2 linked regions of the Nothobranchius furzeri genome follow. The main gene of each other region encodes a partner of the protein of the gene in region 2 in a complex. Links are inferred from orthologs where the notes say so. Each region holds a gene or a part of one and is shown on either strand. Other genes may lie near its edges.

What was found.
Region 1: rbm15b (region 2) and mettl14 share a complex: the UniProt entries of both Homo sapiens proteins name them as parts of the WMM complex. The link is inferred for Nothobranchius furzeri from reciprocal best matches to the Homo sapiens genes RBM15B and METTL14.

The regions. Positions count from the first base shown.
Region 1 is NC_091746.1:78,163,046-78,166,861, reverse strand, and holds part of mettl14 (N(6)-adenosine-methyltransferase non-catalytic subunit METTL14), read right to left. Parts: intron 3,602-3,816; coding exon 3,514-3,601; intron 2,438-3,513; coding exon 2,360-2,437; intron 1-2,359. UniProt on the Homo sapiens protein: The METTL3-METTL14 heterodimer forms a N6-methyltransferase complex that methylates adenosine residues at the N(6) position of some mRNAs and regulates the circadian clock, differentiation of embryonic stem cells and cortical neurogenesis.
Region 2 is NC_091743.1:78,034,926-78,039,208, forward strand, and holds the start of rbm15b (putative RNA-binding protein 15B), read right to left. Parts: upstream 3,058-4,283; 5' UTR 2,822-3,057; coding exon 341-2,821; 3' UTR 1-340. UniProt on the Homo sapiens protein: RNA-binding protein that acts as a key regulator of N6-methyladenosine (m6A) methylation of RNAs, thereby regulating different processes, such as alternative splicing of mRNAs and X chromosome inactivation mediated by Xist RNA.

The sequences.
Region 1 (3,816 bases), on a different chromosome or scaffold from region 2:
ATTCGGTTATTACAAACTGTTTACAGATATTTACAGGTTAGATTTTTGGTAGAAACACATTTATATTTCACTTTAAAAACAAAAGGACACAATGTTAGATTTAACTACATAAAATTCTGTTCTATGAGGACAAAGTTTACTTTAGATCCTCTCATGGTGCACCACGAGGCTGGCCACGGAGCCCTGGTGGCTGACATTATTATAAAACACACATTTAATCCAGTGCGTATGACAATAACACAACTAGATTAGTTCTTAGTCTTTTTATCCTCTTGGGTGGACCAACTAACAGATTTTGTTTACAAAACCAAACCGAGCAACTGTTAACCTGTTGTTTGTTTACACTGACAATGAGCTCTGCTTGGAGCTCAGGGAATCACATGATTTAGTTGGAAATGTTCCAGGCACATTGTCAAGCATCAAGTCAACATGCCAACCAAAACTCGTGCTTCAGGTTTGGGAACCACGGCTAAAATAAAACGTGTTTATCTGAAAGCTTAACCACCGCTGACGCCGTTTACTGATAATGTGGGACTATTTTTAGGATGTAACCTAGACTTACACAAAAACACGCAGCCGTCATAAATATTTGCAGCTCAGATTTCAGACAGTAAAAAGCCAGTGATGACAGATGTGCTTTATGCCTTTTCAACAGCCAGAGCGTGGCAATATACTTAGTCTGGACTAGGGTTGTCACGGTAACCGGTGTAGCGGTAAACCCCGGTAAAAAAAGTTGACAATAATAATAACCGTCTTGTTTTTAAAAAAACTATATTATCTCGGTGGATTACCGTGGCTGCGGTGTAGGCGCGGTGACCCTTACCAGCCACCGTATCATCTGCTGAAGTTGCCAGCGGCACATGCGCACTTTGTTGTTTACAACCAAAACTTTCTTGAAGCTAAAGCTGAAATAATGGCCAAAGGAGGAGACGGCAGCACTCAGGACATGTATTATCCCTCAAAGAAGACAAAGTGGGAAGTACGGGCATCCTTTGGATATTTGAAGAATGCCGAGGGACAGTTGATAGAAGACGGCTATGCTGTTTGCAGCAGGTGCAGGAAAAAGTGTCTGTGGAAGGCAGCAACGCTTCAAATCTCATGACACATCTGCGTGACCATCACCCACAACTCTACAGTCAACGCAAGGCAAGCTAACGTTAGCGTTTTAGCTAAAATGCGTGATCCGAGGATTTGGGCTGAGGGAGAATGCAACGAGTCGCTATATAAAGCAGCCGCAGCGCCGCTACCTGCATATAAACCGTGTCGCGGACACCGCCATGTTGAAATGACGCTATGCATTACGGGGCTCCCAGGGGCAGATAAGAGTTGGTCTCTCTCCGAGAATAATTATGAATTTAACAACGATTACTGCCTGATGACATTTTCCCACATCTGCAAAGCTCACTGGAAGGTCACAAACCGAGGACGATATTTTCATGATATAGGGTTTAGTACTCAAGTAAGGGTAAAAAAAAGTATCTGATTAGAAGGCTACTTGAGTACTGAGTATCATCTGATCTAATATTTTTAAAATGATGTCATCAAACAGACACAAAATAAGAAGTTATGGGCAAATATTGGTATTTTAAAGACTAAAGGGAAAAAATGTAAACAAATAAATAACATAATTACAAAATAACACATTTCAGGCAAAATTTAGACAAACTGAGGACAATATTTCCTGACATACAGGTTTATTTAATTGTGTGAAAATGTAGCACGTTTAAAAAAAATACTGCGATAATACCGAAAACCGTGGTAATTTTGGTCACAATAACCGTGAGGTTACATTTTCACACCGTGACAACCCCAGTCTGGACAATACGTACTTTAAAGGATTACATAAATAATGTGAATGTTTCACAACAATCCTGTTGGCAGGGCCGTTTCTACTGCATATCAGTGTGCATTTGGTAACTATGTAGGAAACAGTCAACAAAAAACAAACGACCCACAGTCATCAAAAATGTTTCTCAGTTGAACATCTTACCAGGAAATGGAAACAATGTCACCAAAACCACCGATCTAACTGGAACTGAGTGAGAACTGGACGCTGGTAATGCAGATGTAAACAATGGGACCTGCTGATATTTACAAGCATCACATGGCTTGCTATTCCCTGTTACTGCTCTGCTGACTCTTTTGTTGTTGTTGTTGTTTTAAGATGATTCCCAGTAACCTTTCATTAACACTTCTCTCTAATGTAACGGCTGTCACCGTTTAAGTTCAATGACATCATAAACTCCATGAACCGGCATAACTTTGATGAACCGAACATGCATGGAATTTCTAAGAAAAGCGAATGAAGTGAGATAAGACACCAGGAAAGCTAAATGAGCTCAAATGAAGGTGTTCTAACCTTGAGGAACGTACTGGAGTCCTTATATACTTCCTCATAGGGGTTGGTTTCATCCTCCTGCTGAACTTCCACCTCATCCTGTCACACGGACAAAAATAGGAAAACACATTTTTGTATTTAAACATGTGGTTGAAACCTGAAAGCAACTGGATCATAAAAGCTATTTAAAAAGAAACATGGATTCAATGTTAAAGAAAAGAAATAAACACATTTAGTCTTTAAAAGGTATCACCAAAGCTTAAATGCATCTGTATCATTTGGTGTGACTAATGATCCATCCATCCATCCATCCATCCATCCATCCATCCATCCATCCATCCATCCATCCATCCATCCATCCATCCATCCATCCATCCATCCATCCATCCATCCATCCATCCATCCATCCATCCATCCATCCATCCATCCATCCATCCATCCATCCATCCATCCATCCATCCATCCATCCATCCATCCATCCTCAGCCGCTTATCTGAAGTTGGGTCGCGTTTTAGGCTGAATATTTTAATTGTGCCAAATTATAGACCACATGTGACTACAGCACAATTAGACACTCATTTGTATGGTTTAGCAGCAAACAAGAAGGTTGATTTGGGGGTGACTTGCTCTTTAAAGTGAGGTCCTGGAGATGCTTTGTTAAGATTGCTAAACAAAAACATCCAGTTAATTATTGAGCCCTGAAGCCGTGAAACCCCACAGGAAAACTGCGTCATCCATATAATTGTGAAAGTCCACATCCACTCAGAACCCACCCAACCAGTTTTCACCACACGTGTTTTAATCGGTTTGTGCAAAAGCCTCAGGTTTAAGGTTAACATTAAAAGGCATAAGTGTGTGTGTGTGTGATGTCAAAGATTCAGGGTGAAACCTGTAGAGTTTTACTAATATTTGAACAGCTGGTAAAGATCTTTGTAGCTTCTGATTCACCTGAAAGATCTCAAATTCATTTCTGACCAATTAAAAAATTGTGACTGTCTCATTGATCAGTTATTTCCATTAGTGCTTTTATGGCCCCAGAGACATGTCACATTTTCCTTGTTGCTCACTCACCACCAACAGCTGATTTTGAAGTTTCAGATTGGCCAATCACACGAAACTATGACCTGCTCTGATCACCAGCTGATCTTTTTGGTGCATCTCTAGATTAAACTCACCTTCTGTTCTTCCACATCTTCCTCGGTGTCCTCTCCCTCAGTTTGTGGCTTCTTTTTGAGAGGAGGGGCTGAACTGTCATATGAAGCCCTGCGAAACACAAACAACTTTAATTCACTCTGAAATCACCTCATTGTTGCAGCACATAAAACTGATCACTGTAACCGACGTGCATGTTTTTGATCTGTGGGAGGAAACGTTTACGTGCAGAAATGCCACCGCTGAGATCGAACCTGCAACCTTCTCACCCCGGGTTTCCACGGGAGCCGTCAGCTGCACGTTACTGCAGCAGCACGTCTTGCTCG
Region 2 (4,283 bases):
GAAGGGCGGACCAAACCATCCCTCCAGGGAAGTGTCTGCATGCAACACCTGGGTGGGGGGTACAGTACAAACACCTGCGTGTCACGTTACCATGTGATTAAAAACAAATAAAGTCAGAAGCAGAGAAACTGTCCTGCTGGGTTTAGTGTCTTTTTTTTTTTTTTACAGCTTAAGTATAAAAGCAGGAGGACCTGCTGTCGCTCCTGTGAGTGTTTTTAAAATCCTCCTCCTTCTCCCGCCAACCCCACCGGCTCACAGGGAGAAGCGGAGTGACGTGTGTAGTGTGGCTGGAATCCAGAATCCTAAAAGGTTTCAAACCAGGAAGTGTTGGTTCTGTACATCAGTTAGTGTCGTTAACGATCACGATCACCATGTGCTCCTCCTCCAGATTACCCACAGTCCTCTTGGCTGTCTGCAGAAACTGCTGAGAGAACTCTCCTGGGGGGAAGGCATAGAGCATGGCGCCCGGCCCACCCTCCTTGGCACTGGGCAGGCTCACCACACCGGCCGCCTCTTTGTTCCGCAGGTACGTCACCAGGTGGCGCAGCAGGCGCACCTGCAATCCTGGCTCCAGACCCGGGGTCTGGCGGTCCACAGGGCCCTGCAGAGCCAGCAGGATGGCAAAGCCATTGGGGCGGCCCACCTTGATGCGGCGCGAAACCTCGTCGAGCCGGGCCTGGTCCATGCGCAGCCGCTGAGCGATCTTTAACTGGCTCAGCTGATTCTTGCTCGGCTGCTTCAGGCTGTCCTTCATCACAGTGTTGAAGAAGGACACGCCCCCCTCCAGCAGGAACAGGTCTGTAGGAAAGCTGCTGTTCTTCAGGGTGAACAAGCCTCTCCACATCCTGGAGAGCATGCTCTGGGCAAACTCCAACAGCGTGCCGGGGGGTGAGGAGGCGTCTGTGTGGGCTGCAGGAGAAGCCGAGGCATTGGCCTCACTGTTCCGATGGTGGTGGTTGTTCAGCTGTTCGCTGGAGGCCCTCTTGCTGTGATGGTGGCTGGAGGGAGGCTCTTCTTCGTTGGTGGACTGCCTTCCAGCTCCTCCGTTGTCAGGGGAATGGTCTCGGGGTTCTGTGGTGGAGTCGGGAGCTCGGACCCGAGCTCGGTCCGGACTCGCTTCAGGAGAGACGGCTCCACCAACACCACGAACCCTTGACCTCCCCACCTCCTTCTCCTCCGTCTGCCTTTCTGCTGACAGACTACTGCTCCTCCTCCTGTTCCTCCTCTCCTCCCTCTCCTTCAGCCAACGTTCCCTGCTCTTGCTACGACTCCTTGCTGCTCTCCCACTCCTCCCAAACGCCTCCACCCCTCCGGACCTCCTCTCCAAGCTGCGGGTGGGGCTGCTGGGAAAGTCTCTCTCCAGCAGGGCCCTCTCCCTCAGGGAGAGCAGGCTGTGAGCAGGGGGAGAACGCTCCCTGGCCCCCCGTAGCTCCTGTTCAAGGCTGCGATGGCGGCTGTATGCCTCTCCAAGAAGGTCATAGTGGGAAGGGAGTGTAACGGGCGTCTGGTAACCAGGAGGAAATGGGCGCGACGGGCTCTCCTCCACCTTAGCAAAGTCCACCCTGAGCCGGTGCTCTGGGCCCCCCAGAGGGAAGCCCCTCATCTGGGTGCAGGCGGCCTGAGCTGCATCCAGACTCTCGTACTGGATGTAGGCAAAGCTGTCCCCCTTCACGTAGTCAATGTTCCGTATGCTGCCAAAGCGATCAAACTCTCGAGCCAGGGCAGCCAGTGGGTTCCCGGGCCCCAGCCCCCCCACCCAGAGGCGGGTGGTGGGGTTGGCTTTGCCGTAACCGATCTTTATGGGGTTCCCACCCATCAGCCGGCCCTGCATGGCCACTTTGGCACGGTGGGCCATGTCCAGGTTCTGAAACTTCACAAACGCATAAGCCCCGCCCTGTCCACGTGCCGGGCGTTTGATCACCACTTCCTCAATGATGCCATATTTATCAAACCCCCTCCGGAGCTCAGCTTCCGTCACGTTCCCATCCAGGTTACCGATGAACAGGTTACTGGTCGCCCGCTGGTCATCCTCCGGCTTCAAGTCCTCCACCACTGGCATGGGGGGCAGGCCGTAGGGCCGCCCCCTCTCATCCAGCATCCCATAGTAGTCCAGCAGCCGGTCCCGGTCTCTGCTCAGACCCAGGGTCTCCAGGGCGTAGTGTCTGGCTCTCAGTTCCCGGAGGTTGCTGACCCCGGGGACAGGGGGGGACAGGGAGCGCTGCCTGTACGGATAGGGGGCGTGGAGGGGTAAATAACCCACGTCCGGTGGGGTGACACTCCGCCTCCGTACGTACATGGGCTCTATCTTCAGCTGGCGCTCTCCCAGAACCAACCTGGAGGATTTGGCGTGCCTGGCCTCCTTGGCATCCTCCGGGTGTCTGAAGTTAACGTAGGCGATCCGGCCAAGCTCCGGTGTGTGCGACAGCTTCACGCTCACATCCCCGAACTTTTTAAATTCGTGAAACAGCGAGTCCTCCACGTCCTCGTCCGACACCTGCGAGCCCAGGTTACTGATGAGCAGCGTTTTATACTCCAGCGTGCCCGGCCGGGGGGCGGGGAGCTCTGCTGCCGAGGTGCGGAGCGGTGGACGGCCGAGGAGGCTGAGCTCATGTCGGTGGTGGAGCTCCAGGGCGGCCGCCCTCTCCTCCCTGAGCCGCGGCTTCTCGCGTTCCCGGCTCCGGCGGCGGTAGCTCCTGCTCTCCGCCAGTAAAAGCGCCAGCGGCGGCGGGGGCAGCTCCTCTCTGCGGCTGCTCTCCCGCTCCCGTGTCCGTTTAGCGATGGCCCTGGACGGACTGCTCTCCCTGCCGGCCTGCCGCTTCATTTTCTCTGGAGGACGGATCGGAAACTTTTCGGTGTCCGCAGCGGGATTCCGGGAGCGTTAGCGGGAGCGAGGCTACGGAGGACGGGCTCAGGGGGAAACGCGGTTCCACGGCATCCGCTGACGTTCGGCTCATTTACGGATAAAAACCAGAAAAGGTTTAAAAACAAAAACTGCATCAGTGGAGCTTCAGCAGCGCCGCCATCTTGGACAATAGGAATGTGCGCGTTCCCCGAGGACGGAGAACTCGATGACGCAAGCACGTCGCGCGTTACCGTCGCTTCACGTTTAAATCTTTATTTGTTTACATAAATAAGTTTATTATTGAAATGATGGAGAATATGCCCACATCATTTAGTCCTGATCTAGAATCCAGAAGTCCCAATCCAGCGCAAATCTCTTGTTAAATTGGTTTAGATGGAATATTCCTGGGACCAAAACATTTCCAGAGACGTTTTTTTTAACTCTGACCTCTTAACAGTAGAAAAATGTTCCTAACTCAAGGGATGAGACAGAGTGGTGGTATCACCCACAGGACGTTAGGCGGCGTTCTTTTGGTTTAAAGGAATTTCTCAGAGAAGGAAAATATTTTTGCCACAAAATGAATTAGACGTAGATGGATTAATTCAGATTAACAATGGATTTGTGAGATTGATGTGGTCATCATGCCTCTGAGGTTTATTACTGAGGACCACTCCAGTGTCCAGTGGGACAGTCTTCTTTATCCACCAGGAGGTTGGAACATTGGTACACCTTCATTTATAAAGCAATGCTTGGATTACTACCCACCTACATCTGTAACTTAATCTCAAGAAGTGTAAGTCCTCAGTCTGGAAGAAGACGATCAGCTGTTACTTTGTGTTCTGTTTGCTCGCACCAATCTGGGCTAAAGGTCTTTTGTTCACTCTGCTCCTTCTGCATGGAACAGGCTGCAGGAAAACTGGGAATTAGTTTTTTTTCTCCTTGACTACATTTAAAACCAGACTGAGAACCCTTGAGAGGATTCTGTGTTGTAACTGCCTTCTGTAATCTAGTGCATAACATGTCTGTGGAGCTGAAACAACTTCTGCTGCCTCTGGGCCAGGACTGCCTTGGAAATGAGGTTTTTCATCTCAATGGGACCTTCCTGGTTAGATGAAGAATAAATCTGTTACTAACATCTAGATTTGGTCTAAAAAGATGTTCTGAGGAAATCCAAAGTTAATCTTGGATTAAGATTGGATGGAATTCTAGATTTCTCCTCTTCTGGGCAGAATGACAGGAAGGACCAGGGATCAGGTCTGAGCCGGACCTCCAGCCTCTCGGGACGATCCATACAAGCACCAGGGTTCTGGGCAAAGCTCGGTTCTCACAGAGGTGTACCCGAAATCCATCTACTGTTCCAAACCAATCCTAAACTTTCTAATCTGTCGGTGAATGCAGTGTCCTAACAAATAAAACCACTAACAGTTAATCCACATTAGCC